4 linked regions of the Daphnia pulex genome follow. The protein of the gene in region 1 purifies or fractionates together with the protein of each later gene. This does not show direct contact. Links are inferred from orthologs where the notes say so. Each region holds a gene or a part of one and is shown in the gene's direction. Other genes may lie near its edges.

Region 1 (3,258 bases):
TTGACTAATGCCCAGCGTTCCGGTTTGAATCAAATTCCCAACCGTCGGTTCACTCTGTGGTGGTCGCCAACCATCAACCGAGCCAACGTCTACGTTGGTTTCCAGGTCCAACTCGATTTGACTGGCATTTTCATGCACGGCAAAATCCCGACGTTGAAGATTTCCTTGATTCAAATTTTCCGTGCCCATTTGTGGCAGAAGATCCACGAATCCGTCGTGATGGATCTTTGTCAAGTTTTCGATCAGGAACTTGACGCTTTGGAGATTGAAACTGTGCAGAAAGAAACTATTCATCCCCGTAAATCTTACAAGATGAACTCTTCCTGCGCCGACATCCTTCTCTTCGCCTCGTAAGTGGAACTTATTTTTCTGTCTTGTGTTTTCCTTGTTGTAATATTTGTTACATGTTCTTCATTTTGTTTTTTCAGGTACAAGTGGAACGTTTCTCGGCCATCCCTTTTGGCTGACTCTCGTGATGTCATGGACAATACCACCACACAAAAATACTGGATTGATGTCCAGCTGCGTTGGGGCGATTACGATTCCCACGACATTGAACGTTATTCTCGTGCTAAATTCCTCGACTACACGACAGACAACATGTCCATCTATCCGTCGCCGACTGGTGTCCTGATTGCCCTGGATTTGGCCTACAATTTGCACAGTGCATACGGCAATTGGTTCCCTGGATCCAAGCCGCTTATCCAACAAGCCATGGCGAAGATCATGAAGGCCAATCCTGCTCTCTACGTCTTGCGCGAACGTATCCGCAAAGGTCTCCAGCTGTATTCTTCTGAGCCGACGGAACCTTACTTGTCATCGCAGAATTACGGCGAATTGTTCTCCAATCAAATCATTTGGTTCGTCGATGATACAAACGTCTACCGTGTCACGATCCACAAGACCTTCGAAGGCAACTTGACGACCAAACCCATTAACGGAGCCATTTTCATCTTCAATCCTCGTACTGGTCAGCTTTTCCTCAAGATTATTCACACGTCCGTATGGGCCGGTCAGAAGCGTTTGGGTCAGCTGGCGAAGTGGAAGACTGCCGAAGAAGTTGCCGCCCTGATTCGATCGTTGCCCGTGGAAGAACAGCCCAAACAGATCATCGTCACACGAAAGGGCATGTTGGATCCCCTCGAAGTCCATTTGCTGGATTTCCCCAACATTGTCATCAAGGGCTCTGAGCTCCAGCTTCCCTTCCAGGCCTGCCTTAAAGTCGAGAAGTTTGGTGATTTGATTTTGAAGGCGACCGAACCCCAGATGGTCCTGTTCAACCTCTACGACGATTGGCTGAAAACCATTTCCAGCTACACGGCATTCTCCCGTCTTATTCTTATTCTGCGCGCCCTTCACGTGAACAATGACCGAACCAAGGTGGTGCTGAAACCGGACAAGACCACCATCACCGAAGCCCACCACATTTGGCCCTCACTGACGGACGAGCAATGGATCAAAGTTGAAGTGCAACTCAAGGATCTCATCCTGGCGGATTACGGCAAGAAGAACAACGTCAACGTGGCTTCGCTGACACAGTCTGAAATTCGAGACATCATTCTCGGTATGGAGATCAGTGCCCCTTCGGCCCAACGTCAGCAGATTGCCGAAATCGAGAAGCAGACCAAGGAGCAGACGCAGCTGACAGCTACGACGACACGAACAGTCAACAAACATGGTGACGAAATCATCACGAGCACCACTTCCAATTACGAGACGCAGACATTCAGCTCCAAGACCGAATGGAGAATCCGAGCCATTTCGGCCACCAACCTCCACCTCCGAACGAATCACATTTACGTTTCATCGGACGACATTAAAGAGACGGGCTACACTTACATTCTACCCAAGAACGTGCTGAAAAAGTTTGTCACCATTTCCGACTTGAGAGCGCAGATTGCGGGATACCTTTACGGCATCAGTCCACCTGACAATCCTCAGGTGAAGGAGATTCGCTGCATTGTGATGCCGCCTCAATGGGGTACGCATCAGTCGATCCACTTGCCCGTCCAACTACCCCAGCACGAGTACCTCAAAGACCTGGAGCCACTCGGCTGGATGCACACTCAACCCAATGAGTTGCCGCAACTGTCGCCACAGGATATTACAACTCACGCCAAAGTGATGGCCGACAATGCCAATTGGGATGGCGAGAAGACTGTGATCATTACGTGCAGTTTCACACCTGGCTCTTGTTCGCTCATGGCCTACAAGTTGACGCCCAGCGGCTTTGAATGGGGCAAACAGAACACGGATCGCGGCAACAATCCCAAGGGTTATCTACCGTCACATTACGAGCGAGTGCAAATGTTGTTGTCCGATCAATTCCTCGGCTTTTTCATGGTCCCTTGCCAGGGCTCGTGGAACTACAATTTCATGGGTGTTCGCCACGACCCTAACATGAAGTATGAACTTCACCTGGCCAATCCAAAGGAGTTTTATCACGAGGTTCATCGGCCATCGCATTTCATGAATTTCTCCTCCATCGAGGAAGGTGACAGTGTCGGAGCAGATCGTGATGACTCGTTCGCTTGATTTTCTTGATTTTTTTTTTGTATGGTCTTTTTTCGTTTCCATCCGGGGCCCGTTCCCAATACATAGCCGGAGAAAATAGAAAATAATATGTTTGGGAACTCATGAAATCAAGCTTTGTGTTTTGCTTCCCAATTCTTATAACTTGAAGTTTTTTTCATGTTTTAATGTACTTTCTGTTTGATTCGATTTAAACAGAATACAATAGAGCAAACATTTTATTTCCGTCTGCAACGTTTAATTTGTTTCCATTGCATTCTGTTCCATATCTGCCTTGATCTGAAGTTACTATCGATCAAGAGAGCATCCTTTTGTACTTTACACAACTTAACGAATTGATTAGCTTACGAATAATTAAGTCCTAGAAGTTAAAACAACGAAATCAGCCAAGAGCTAATACTTAATCAATTTCAGTTTGTTTTTCTAACCCTTCCTCTCCCCACCCAGAGTTCTTTTAATGCACAGGTGAAAAATATTACTTTTTAAGATGCAACCTTGAATTGATTACCATAACCCTTAAAAAAAATTTATTCCCCATTTTGTACCTTTTAAGGGGTTAGCAAAACCGCCTACTGAGACAGTTCTCTTATTGACGTGGTCTTGTGAACACGGACAGTTGCAGACTTGCAGGGCAGTTTCGCAGTCCTGCTTGTATTCCAACAGTGATCATCATGCCTCGTTATTTCAGTTCTGTAGCTTTATTTTTTGCGTTCAACAACAGTAGCC
Region 2 (3,515 bases), on another chromosome or scaffold:
AACTCTAAAGGAAGGTGCGGGTCCACCTGAAGTCCTCAGTTGTCCGCCGAACTTCCATTCACGTAGACACAACAGGAGCTCTCCATTTCTCTCTCTCCTCTCTATCTCTCCTGTTTTTCTTTTCCCCACTTCTTTGCCACATCGCCGCCTCTGTGCTATTTTTATATTCGCTTGCACTCTCTCGTCAGGAAGTCTTTTTCCTGTCCCCTACAAGCGATAAATTGTTTTCGTGAATCGCCGTTGATTACTTACCCAATTCCAACATGTCACCAACATGCTCTAAATTGTGCAACTGCTGGCTTTGCCGCACTCGCAGTTAATCTATTTTAGAAAAAAACCTTGTGAATTGGTAAGCGACTATTTTTGGCATCTCCAACTTTTTCAATCAATTACACTAAGCATCGCGCCAGTGGTCCGCCGTTTCTGCGGATATAATTGAATTAGTGATTTAACCGGATGGTCTAGACAATTGATATTCTAACCAGTTTTGTTGTTTGTTTGTTTTGTTTTTCTTCTTCTCCCCATCACAGAATTGTTGATTCAGATGGTGAATTCTTGCTGGTTGAAGCTGCCGATAGTCTTCCGCGTTGGGCCAACCCAGAAACTTGCATCAACAGGGTAAGTTTATTCGCTTAACTCTTTTTTTTGGAATTCCTTGACAAAGTTATAATTTTATCACTCTGAAAATTACAGGTTTTTATCCATGGTGGTCAAGTTCATATAATCAGTATAGCTGATCGTCCCTCTAGTATCACTCCTTTACCGTCAGGCCAGCCTTCTCTGATGGACGCTGTTCACATTGTTCGTTCCATGCCGCACTTGACCATAGCACCCGCTCCCATTCAAGAGCCAATCCACCAGCGCATTGACAAGTAAATTTGAAATTTCTAATTTTGTTTTCGAGTTTAAGGCCATTTCGTAATGGGGACAACTCCCCTGGTTTTTTTTTTGTGTGTGTGTTTTTTCTTTCAACTAATTCAGGTGCGTATCTCAAATCGATTCCAGTCTTCACCGTTGCAATGTATTCGTGCCTGCTGGTGTTGCCGCTTTGCTGCAATCCTATCCGACTCTTGTAGCACCAGCTATTCATGCATTCTGTCAGCGCGATGCCTCTCAACTGCAGGTATTTAAAAAGTGTCTGGTTAAAATGTCAGCTCAAACCCGAGCTCCCGAAGGCAAGGTTTAATCAATTATTTTGTTCCCCCCGTTATGTAACGTAGGTTATCCGCGCCATGCGTTTCTTTCCCCCAGAAACTCGAGTATGGACGTCAGTGACATTCACAAAATGTCTTTATGCTATGCTTGTTCACCGTAACTACCAGCCAGATCACAGGACTGGCTGGTCTTTACCACCGATTGGCGATTCCAAACGAACGGGTTCAGACCTTGGCATGAAACTTGTACGCAATTTCTTTTATCTGATTTTGTCTTTTCTGTTTTGAATTTATTTATGTTTTCAAATCATTTCAGGCTATTGGATTTGAATTACTGGCTAACGAGGAATCCTTACACCAAAAAGACGACGATTATTCTTTGGACATGGATTCACGTTGGAATCGATTCCTAAACACACTGAAAGAAAAAGGATTTTTCCAGGTAAATTTCACTGAAAGTTATTTTGTCAAATTTACAAAGTAATTTGTGTTTTTATTTCTGTTTGTTCTTTTAGGATTTCCTCGATGGTTCTAAACCACATAATGAGCTTATGGAAAAAGCTCGAGAATTTTACATCAATAGTGTGGGAGTAGAAGGACCGGCAAAGAAACCTGTCATTTTAAGACTGATGCAATCTGTTTGTGCCGATGTCGACAAATTCAAGAAAGTAGAATCCCATTTACCTGCGGATGACGGTAAGGTTTCACTTGTAAGACGTTGGTAGAACTGCAACTCATGTTTCGTTGTTATTCAATACAGATGACTCCTGGCTATCTGTTGATCCTGCCACCCTTGATCAAATTCTCGGCGACAAATTTAGTTTGTTGGGAGTCGATGATGATGACGAGGCCAAGGCCGATATCTTGCCTAAACTTGAAACCTTCCTCAATCGGACGTCAGATTATGAAGGTCTTACGCCGGCCAACGGCAGGAAGAAATCCAGAAAGCTTTCTCACCTAGCTCCGCCTTCAAGGAAGACGTCAACGCTCTCAAACGCCTCTGACGCTTCCCAACTTTCTACCAACATTGGTTTCGATCCAGATAGTTTTGCATCCGCAATGCAAGGGATTCTTGGTACGTCAATTTCTTGTAAATTTGTTGGACTTTGAAAATAATAAAAAAAAAATCTTTTGTAGATTTCGCTCTGCCAGAAGACAATTGGGATTTGGAATCAAATTCTTCTTGTTTGAGCAGCTACAGTGAAGAGGAAGAAGGCGACGAGTTGGTAGACAAGGAGATGAACAAATACATGCAAACAATGGATCAAGAATTGTTAACCACGGATGTTCATCGTACTTCCGTAGACAACCCTACTCGCAAGGTAAATTTTTGTGTGTGTGGAATTAACAAACAATTGGTAATAAGCCATCGAATTCGTTTCCAGGAATCCGTCATGAGCGAAGGTTGTGAGAGTTTCAGCGATGTGGAAAACTTTCAACCCGTAAAAATTGATTCTGCTGCTCTTGAATCCCTTCTTGCTTCCTACACAATGCAGCGTGGTGGTCCTGGTCCTGCATCTATTTTGTTGAATCAATTGAATCTTTCTCGGAGCCAGGTATCAGCCAGTAAAAAACAAACCGACTGAAGATTGTGACCTTACGTTTGTTTTTCTCCTCTTTTTCTCTTCACTCTTTCCCTATGTAATTATTATCGATGTCTTTTCATCCGCCCTATTTCCTCTTACCCATGCGATTGGGTGATTTGAGGTTTAATTTATTATTATGATTCGTCTTTTGATAAAAACTTCCGGTTTTTTTTTTCTTTAAAAAATTCGGTCCCTCACCTTTTCGAATCTGACACATTTCTCAAAAGCCAGTCGCTGCTATCCCTCTGTGATACACAACGCTCGGTGGAGGTGGTTTGTATAACGGGACTTTTTTTTTTTTTTTCCATTTCCAGCTCCATTCCTAATACATTTCGGATTTATGTATTCGCCTTCTTTGCGTTCTTCCATGTCTTTTGGCGTTATAGCTGCCATTTGAAAGATACACGAGGATTCACACTGAGCACGTCTTGTAAATTAAGTCGATACAAACGGAACGACTCGTGGGGTCAAATTACTCGTACCCACGCAAGTCACGGTTTGCCTCCAGCCCGTATCCTTGTTCCAGATTTTAAAAATACCTTTTTTTTTTGCTAAGTTGTTGTATGCGCACAAATGTGGAGTCAAAAGGGCAAGGTACAAGCTATTTTAATTCGCGTCTGGCCATTATTTTTATTCTTTTGGCTTTTTGAAGTAGTTCTAATGAATTTGAGTATCGTTAAATTGTTTGCCAACATACCAAAATGTCCAATCATCGAGTTCTCAACGGATTTGATGATAATACAGTTGAGTAAGTTTGAAGGATGCCATTACGCAG
Region 3 (4,314 bases), on another chromosome or scaffold:
TTTAAACTCTTCTTCATTTCCCGACCAAGTGTTGAAGGCGCATTCAATTCTGTCCTGTCATTCAATAACTGAACAGAACAGAACTAAAAAATCTAACTAGACCATGGCTTCCGAAAGATATAGTTTCTCCCTAACAACTTTCAGGTTTTCTATCATTTACTTTCTAAGTTTTGACTAAATATAACATTTATTTTCATTGTTTAGTCCTTCTGGAAAACTGGTACAAATCGAGTATGCTTTGGCCGCAGTAGCTGCCGGTGCTGCATCAGTCGGCATTAAAGGTATATTGAAATTTCAGCATGTAAAAGATTGTAACAATGTAAATAATGTTATGTTATAGCTGCCAATGGTGTCGTTCTGGCCACTGAGAAGAAGCATCGGTCAATCTTATATGAAGAACACAGTGTTCACAAGATTGAAATGATTACCCCCAAGATCGGTATGGTCTACAGTGGAATGGGTCCTGATTATCGCCTCTTGGTTCGTCAAGCAAGGAAAATGGCTCAACAATATTGGGTAACTTATCAAGAACAGATACCAACTGCCCAGCTTGTCCAGCGTGTTGCTACCCTCATGCAAGAGTACACACAGTCTGGGTAAATATTTGGTTTTGTCACAAAAAAATAGTTCTTAAATAGTATAGATGAACATTTCAATGAATTTTTGTAATGCAGAGGTGTCAGGCCATTTGGTGTTTCACTCTTGATGTGTGGCTGGGATGAAGGACGTCCATATCTGTTTCAGTGTGATCCATCAGGAGCCTACTTTGCCTGGAAAGCCACTGCCATGGGAAAGAATTACATCAATGGCAAAACTTTCCTCGAGAAAAGATACAATGAAGACCTCGAGCTCGACGATGCTGTCCACACTGCGATTCTTACTCTCAAAGAGGGTTTTGAAGGAGGCATGACAGAAGATAATGTTGAAATTGGTATTTGTAACGAGCAGGGTTTCCGCCGATTATCTCCCGCTGAGGTTAAGGATTACTTGGCGAACATTGCCTAAACGGCTCGAAAATTCTTTGATTTCAAACAAGTGTCGAAAAATAAATCTGATGGTTGCTTAATGAATTTTCTCTTGGATTTTAAAAACAAAATTCCTTTTCTTTGTTCATTGCTAAACAATCATTTTCCTACTATCTTCACTCAAATTGCCTGTTAGAAATCTTAAAATCTATCAGATAAAAGATCTAAAAGATCCAGTCATAATTCCTCAATCAGTTCAAAGTGGTTGTATTTTTTATACTTGATCATTGTTGTTTAACGTTCAAGTTTATTCTAAATTCTTACTACATACTTTCTTCATTTCTTGTATCGATTCAAACGAGCAAACAGATGAATGAACCGAATGAACTATGAATTTGGATATGATTTTGTTTTGGTACTTGACATATATTAGTGAATTCCGTATAATTCAACAGTATAGTTCAAGGGATTCTTTTTCTGAATTGAACTAATAGCAGATAAGAGTTTAACAATTTTTTCTAGGTGGAAAAAAGTGGGAAGAAGTCGGAATCGGAATTCGGAAGAAGTGGGCGCCACACTGAAATTAAACAGTCTGACAACATTGTAGCGGATAGACAGCAACGTTTTGTTGCGTTCTGCTGTTAAAGCCGGAACAGAAAAACGCTATTTAACTCACATTTTAGAAATAGAATCAGTTTTTAATTTTGACGTGAGAATCTGACAATTTCATACATCAGAATAGAGTTTGATAGTCAGCATGCCACCTGCTGTGGAAACATTGCCAGTTTCTGGTGAAGTAAATATGCCCGAGAATGCTTCTACCAAGCCTACTGTCGGCATCATTTACCCACCTCCTGAAGTCAGAAGTAAGTTTGTTGTCAACTTACAAGTTCGTGAATAATTCATAACAATTTTCTTCTTAGATATTGTGGACAAGACAGCCAGCTTTGTAGCCAGAAATGGGTTGGAGTTTGAAGCACGGATTAGGAAAAATGAGCAGAATAACCCAAAATTCAACTTTCTTAATACTGGAGATCCTTATCATGCATACTACCAGTACAAAGTTAAGGATATCAGAGAAGGAAAGCTTGCAGAAGGTGCACCTGCAGCAGCACCTGTCCCAGGCCCACCGGGAAAACCACCACCATCAGCCCCTACATCAGCACCAGCTTCGTTGGCACAGCAGCAGAAACAGCAAGAAATTTTGAAACAATTCCAGCAAGAAGCCCCTGTAATCCCAAAAGAGCCACCTCCAGAGTTTGAATTCATTGTTGATCCTCCATCGATTTCAGCCATGGAATTGTGAGTTTTTTAAATAACTATTTAAATATTATGAAGCTAAAACTTAACAACACTTGTGTCTTATTTCAGAGACATTGTGAAACTCACTGCCCAATTTGTAGCTAGGAATGGTCGCCAGTTCCTCACAAGTCTGATGAATCGTGAGGCCAGAAATTATCAGTTTGACTTTCTGCGTCCTCAGCACTCGCTTTTTCAATATTTCACTCGTCTCCTAGAACAGTACACCAAAGTATTTTGATTGGTAGATTATTTTGTTTGAATGAAAGTCTAAATGATTTTGTTATTCTTTAGGTTCTTATCCCACCGAAAGACTTGATGACCCGTTTGAACGAGGGTTGCACTAATACTAGCGTTGTCTTACAAGAAGTCAAACGACGAGCCGACTGGCAACGTCATCAAGAGGCTCAGAAACGCCGAGAAGAAGAAGAAGCTGAAAGGGAACGCGTGTCATATGCGCAAATTGATTGGCACGACTTTGTAGTCGTCGAATCAGTTGACTATCAACCATTCGAAATTGGTAATTTCCCTCCTCCCACAACCCCAGAGGAGGTCGGTGCCCGTATTCTTCTCCAGGAGCGCTACGAAGAAGGACAAGATGTTGAGATGCAGCTGGAGAGTGAAGAGGAAGACGATGATGAAGAAGACGATTCAGACACGGAACAGACAAAGCCACCACCACCACCAGGCGCACCGCCCTCTCAAGCCATCAAGGGAGATGGACTACAGCCTCCTCCAGTGGCTCCTTCTGCCGAAAACGTCATCGTGCGTAAAGACTACAATCCCAAAGCTGTGGCAAAACCACAAGCCCGTCCGCCTGCTCCAGACGAGTACCTCATCTCACCCATCACTGGAGAGCGAATTCCGGCTAGCCAAGTGGCTGAGCACATGCGTATCGGTTTGCTGGATCCGCGTTGGTTGGAGCAGCGCGATCGACAAATGCAAGAAAAGATGACTCAAGAGTCTGTGTACGCGCCCGGATCAGCCATCGAAAACAGCTTGCGAGCATTGGCTGAACGTCGTACAGATATTTTCGGTGTCGGTGACGAAGAGACAGCCATCGGTAAAAAGATTGGTGAAGAAGAGCGTCGCAAAGACGAGACCAAATGGGAAGGACAACAACCGCCTGCCCCGCCACCATCAGGTGGAGAGGGAGGATCAACGTTCCAACCCCGACCTGGTCCACCTGCTGGCCTGGTTACCATACAAGAGCAGATTGCGCAGATCCACAAGAACAAGGCGCTCATGACTGGCATGAGCGAGGAAGAAGATGGGCTAGGATCTAATGGCGTTGTAGCAGCAGCGCCACCTAAACCTCCACAACAATTAATGAGCATTCCACCAAGACCACCGGTCATGATGTCTGCTCCGCAGCCGCCACCCATGATGATGATGTCCATCCCTCAGCCGCCAATGCCAATGCCCATGGTCCCCCAGAATTCTTTCATGACGCAGATGCCTCAGTCTATGGGCATGATGCAGCAACAGCAGCAGGGTCAGGGTGGTCGAGATGTCATGGAGGAGGAGCCTCCTTCTAAACGACAGCGCAACGAGGATCAACTTATGCCTGAGGAAGCCTTTTTGGTCAGATATCCCGGTCTGCTCCACTTCCATATTGGTGCACCAGTTTACGCCGAAAAACCCGAGTGGAGATTGCAGGGCCAGCAGCTCAGCTTTTCCTTGTTGCCCACGGAACCAATCTCCGTTGTTAAGCAGAAGATTAGTGAAGCGACAGGAATGCCGCCGGCCAAGCAAAAGCTCTTTTGGGAGGGGCTCTACTTCAAGGACAATCATTCTCTGGCATTTTACAATGTTACCCCCGATGCTGTTGTCCAGCTTCAGGTGAAGGAACGAGGCGGTCGTAAGAAGTAAAAAACAATTCTGGAAAATCCTAAACCATCAAAAAACCTCATTTACATCAGTACGGACCTTGGGGGATAATTACGTAATCGGAAAGCATTTTACAACCATTTTGTCTCTCCCTCTGCTACACTGTCATCGATTCCTTCCTGGTCTCAGAAATGGAAATATATTCAACTTTTCTCATTTC
Region 4 (3,346 bases), on another chromosome or scaffold:
GAATATTCTGAATTAAATCTTACTTCAAGGTACTGACGTCTTGGAAGACACTTATCAAGTGCTAGAAATTGAGTTGATTGTTTTTCATTATGTTGGATTGTAGCAGCAAACCTACAATGAAGGTGGGCAGCAAACCAATGTTTAGGCTTCAATTCGTGAAGTAATGTTTCTCCAGCTTGACTTCCCAATACATTTTGGGCTATCTCATCACTGGAAGGGGAAAGAAAGAAATGTGTAAATTGAATTGTGTTTTGGAACAATTAGGTAACACTATTTCAAACCGAAAGAATGGTTTCCAATGCAGAAGTTCTCTGGTATCTGCATAATTGTAGACACCACGAGGCCAATCATGTGAAATAAAAATATCTATGTCTTCTTTTAACTGAAAATTAAAAGACATTTAAGTTTTTAATCTTTAAAACAATCAAAATGTAATTACCTGTTTCAAGCGAAATACTTCAAGACTACGAACATGATAAGCTGATCTCATAGTGCTGTTTGTGTAGGGAGGTTTTTCAAAATGTCCTTTCAAGTAATCATGTCCTTTAAAGATGCCTGATATTCCCGCTATTCTGATGCCACCAAACTTGACTACACCAGCATAGCCAAGATAATATATATTTGGAGCAACCCAGCCTCCATATGCAAGTTCTTGTAGATAGTTTGATGCTTCATGATTGCCTCCAATGAAAATAGTTAAAATTGGTGCTTTCAATTCACCATTATAATACCTGATATTGAAAAAAACAGTAACAATTACAATAAACTCTTATTTGTCTAAAACAATTATAAATAAATACTTGTAGAATGTACAGATATGACGGAATTTGTCAGGTACTGCCATGCATTGTAAGTCACTTTCGTTTCGAACAGCTTGAAAATCTCCACAACAGATGAGCAAATCAACTTTGACATTTCTTTGCCTCGCCAAATTCTCGACAGACCGGTAAATTTGATCAAGTTCACCATGAGCGCACCCTTCAACAGCAATAATCATGTTTTATACTGTCTTTAACTTGATATTTTAAGATAAATGTCAAATGCTGTTTCAAAGTTGATAACTTGCTTTCAAGTTACAACACAAACTCAATATTTTGAAGTTGTTTACAGTTTTACTGGAAGCCGAATCGTTCGTGGCTATTGTCGTCTGCTTAAAACCTAGCGGCAAAAACACAGCCATTTTCATATATTTTCTAACGTTTATAATTTTTTTTAATTTTGTTGACAAATTTAAATACTTTAGTTTAGAAAAGTATTTATATTTCAAGATAAAAAGCTACAGATGCACAAAACCTTTGATAAAACTTTAGTTTGAAAAGTTAATTTCCTGTTTGGAAATGTATTCGGAAATGAGTTGCAACATCGCACATGGCGTCACTTAGATATCCCTAGATTTGTCAACTACAAACGTGCAAAAACATTTTGTTCAAGTTTTAATTGCATCTTTTCCCAAATTCAATTACGTGTTTAAGGTTTAAAAAGCCAAAAAGAAAATGGTGAAGTTGACGGCTGAGGTCATTCACTTGAGCCACCAGTACACGAATGCCATCAAAGAAAGAGAACTAGATTTAAGAGGTATGTAACCGGCGTTCAGCTTCAATCTCATTCAGTCAGTTACTAAAGTTCAAAAGTTTTTTGTGTTGGCTTAAAAAAAGTGATGTAATTGTAAAAATATTTCGTGAAAATACAGCTATTTTTTGTCATCATTTTAGGTTACAAGATTCCTGTAATTGAAAACCTAGGAGCAACTTTAGTAAGTAAATTTGTAGTGTAATCATGCTGAACAGTTACTGGAGTGTTTTCTTTTTTCAGGATCAGTTTGACACAATAGATTTTTCAGATAATGACATAAGGAAATTGGATGGTTTTCCCTTGCTGAGACGAATTAAAAGTCTTCTCCTAAACAACAACAGAATCTTGTAAGTTTTTTGTTGTATTATTCACAAATTTAATTTCATGCAAATGATTCTTTAAAATCTGTAGACGCATTGCTGATGGATTAGGTGAAGTCATTCCAAACCTCGAAACCCTTGTCCTGACAAATAATCATCTGCAAGAGTTGGGCGACCTTGACCCATTAGCAGAATTCTCTAAACTCACCTATTTAAGTCTACTGAGCAATCCTGTTGCAAATAAGCAACATTATCGTTCATATGTGATAAACAAGTTGCCAAGCCTGAGGGTGTTGGATTTTCGTAAAGTAAAACTTAAGGTAATAATGTTCTACCTGACATCAGGAATTTTCCTCCTTATTCATGTAAAACTTGATTTGAAGGAGAGAGAAGCCGCCCGAGACCTATTCAAATCAAAGAAAGGAAAAGTATTGGCGAAAGAAATCGCCCAGAAAAGCAAGTTTCTTTCAGCTGAAGCGGGAAATAAGGCACCGATAGGTAAAAAACACAAATGTTTTGTTTTGTTAGCCTAAGAAATGTTATTAAATTATTTTGTGTAGGTGGTGCATCTGCGGAGGAGGCTCGTGCAATCCGAGAAGCTGTTGCTAATGCCTCCACCTTGGAAGAGGTAGAACGTCTAAACCAAATGTTGAGGGCAGGTGTCGTACCTGGAAAAGCCACCCAAGGCTCCAGCAAAAACGGAAATGCAAATGGTAAATTCACATCCTGTCTTCAACTTCCTTGTTTCGTTTGTTAAAACTTTTGAATTGTTGTAGGTGAAGATATGGAGGAGGAAGAAGATGAACCCATGGAGAAATGACAATGCCATCACGGGTAAAAATTAATTTGTATCAAGCTGTTAATGTGAATGTGGGACTACACTTTGATAATAAAAATATCGCTACCCTAGAGTAAATAAGGTAGCAGAAAGATATTTTTGAAATTACAAATTGCCCGTCTAATTTGTGTCACAGTTAAAAGACCGAGAAGCGATTAAATTTGGTCATTTTAACAAAACTGTGTTGTGAAAAATGCGTAGCGAAACCAATTTTCAGTCATAGAATTAGATATGCTACATAGTGTGTATATCCTACGTGTATTCGGAAGAGGCTCATCTGCCATTTGCGGAATGAGTCATGCATAGAAGGCGGATGTGGGGGTGTGCGTTATTTTCAGCCGGACATGACGGGTTAGGAGTAGCTTGGAAACTGTAGACGATCTAATTTAGAGCGTTTCGTGTCCTTTCATTAACGAGCGTGCCCGTGCGTAAGTTTCGTTGTTTTGAGTAAGATTTTTGGCGCCCACTCCTATTTTTCCCGATACCACATCCGGAATATCATGAGCTAACACCGCCATGATGATGTGATAATGGCAGCAAACTTGGTTTGTAGGTTACAACTTACAGCTATACGAAAATCCAGAACTGATCGTTTTAAGTTCAAAATTCTACTAAT

What was found.
Region 2: the proteins of pre-mRNA-processing-splicing factor 8 (region 1) and protein ecdysoneless-like purify together in Homo sapiens (affinity purification with mass spectrometry; 7 studies listed by BioGRID and IntAct, counting the BioPlex papers as one, with this or other methods). This does not show direct contact. The link is inferred for Daphnia pulex from reciprocal best matches to the Homo sapiens genes PRPF8 and ECD.
Region 3: the proteins of pre-mRNA-processing-splicing factor 8 (region 1) and splicing factor 3A subunit 1-like purify together in Homo sapiens (affinity purification with mass spectrometry; 4 studies listed by BioGRID and IntAct, with this or other methods). This does not show direct contact. The link is inferred for Daphnia pulex from reciprocal best matches to the Homo sapiens genes PRPF8 and SF3A1.
Region 4: the proteins of pre-mRNA-processing-splicing factor 8 (region 1) and U2 small nuclear ribonucleoprotein A'-like fractionate together in Homo sapiens (co-fractionation; 3 studies listed by BioGRID, with this or other methods). This does not show direct contact. The link is inferred for Daphnia pulex from reciprocal best matches to the Homo sapiens genes PRPF8 and SNRPA1.

Annotation. Positions count from the first base shown.
Region 1 is NC_060027.1:2,056,648-2,059,905, forward strand, and holds the end of pre-mRNA-processing-splicing factor 8, read left to right. Parts: coding exon 1-350; intron 351-428; coding exon 429-2,535; 3' UTR 2,536-2,753; downstream 2,754-3,258. UniProt on the Homo sapiens protein: Plays a role in pre-mRNA splicing as core component of precatalytic, catalytic and postcatalytic spliceosomal complexes, both of the predominant U2-type spliceosome and the minor U12-type spliceosome.
Region 2 is NC_060018.1:5,231,285-5,234,799, forward strand, and holds the end of protein ecdysoneless-like, read left to right. Parts: intron 1-530; coding exon 531-618; intron 619-693; coding exon 694-872; intron 873-981; coding exon 982-1,123; intron 1,124-1,220; coding exon 1,221-1,400; intron 1,401-1,470; coding exon 1,471-1,596; intron 1,597-1,669; coding exon 1,670-1,850; intron 1,851-1,914; coding exon 1,915-2,229; intron 2,230-2,291; coding exon 2,292-2,476; intron 2,477-2,539; coding exon 2,540-2,740; 3' UTR 2,741-3,161; downstream 3,162-3,515. UniProt on the Homo sapiens protein: Regulator of p53/TP53 stability and function. Inhibits MDM2-mediated degradation of p53/TP53 possibly by cooperating in part with TXNIP. May be involved transcriptional regulation. In vitro has intrinsic transactivation activity enhanced by EP300.
Region 3 is NC_060024.1:13,065,665-13,069,978, forward strand, and holds the start of splicing factor 3A subunit 1-like, read left to right. Parts: upstream 1-1,510; 5' UTR 1,511-1,722; coding exon 1,723-1,831; intron 1,832-1,888; coding exon 1,889-2,267; intron 2,268-2,336; coding exon 2,337-2,496; intron 2,497-2,558; coding exon 2,559-4,136; 3' UTR 4,137-4,314. Other genes in the region: proteasome subunit alpha type-2, read left to right, coding at 104-144, 205-281, 341-596, 675-1,005. UniProt on the Homo sapiens protein: Component of the 17S U2 SnRNP complex of the spliceosome, a large ribonucleoprotein complex that removes introns from transcribed pre-mRNAs.
Region 4 is NC_060021.1:10,325,754-10,329,099, reverse strand, and holds U2 small nuclear ribonucleoprotein A'-like, read left to right. Parts: upstream 1-1,350; 5' UTR 1,351-1,493; coding exon 1,494-1,575; intron 1,576-1,712; coding exon 1,713-1,753; intron 1,754-1,812; coding exon 1,813-1,919; intron 1,920-1,983; coding exon 1,984-2,212; intron 2,213-2,275; coding exon 2,276-2,390; intron 2,391-2,452; coding exon 2,453-2,605; intron 2,606-2,668; coding exon 2,669-2,712; 3' UTR 2,713-2,842; downstream 2,843-3,346. Other genes in the region: lariat debranching enzyme B-like, read right to left, coding at 24-210, 282-382, 440-731, 801-997. UniProt on the Homo sapiens protein: Involved in pre-mRNA splicing as component of the spliceosome. Associated with sn-RNP U2, where it contributes to the binding of stem loop IV of U2 snRNA.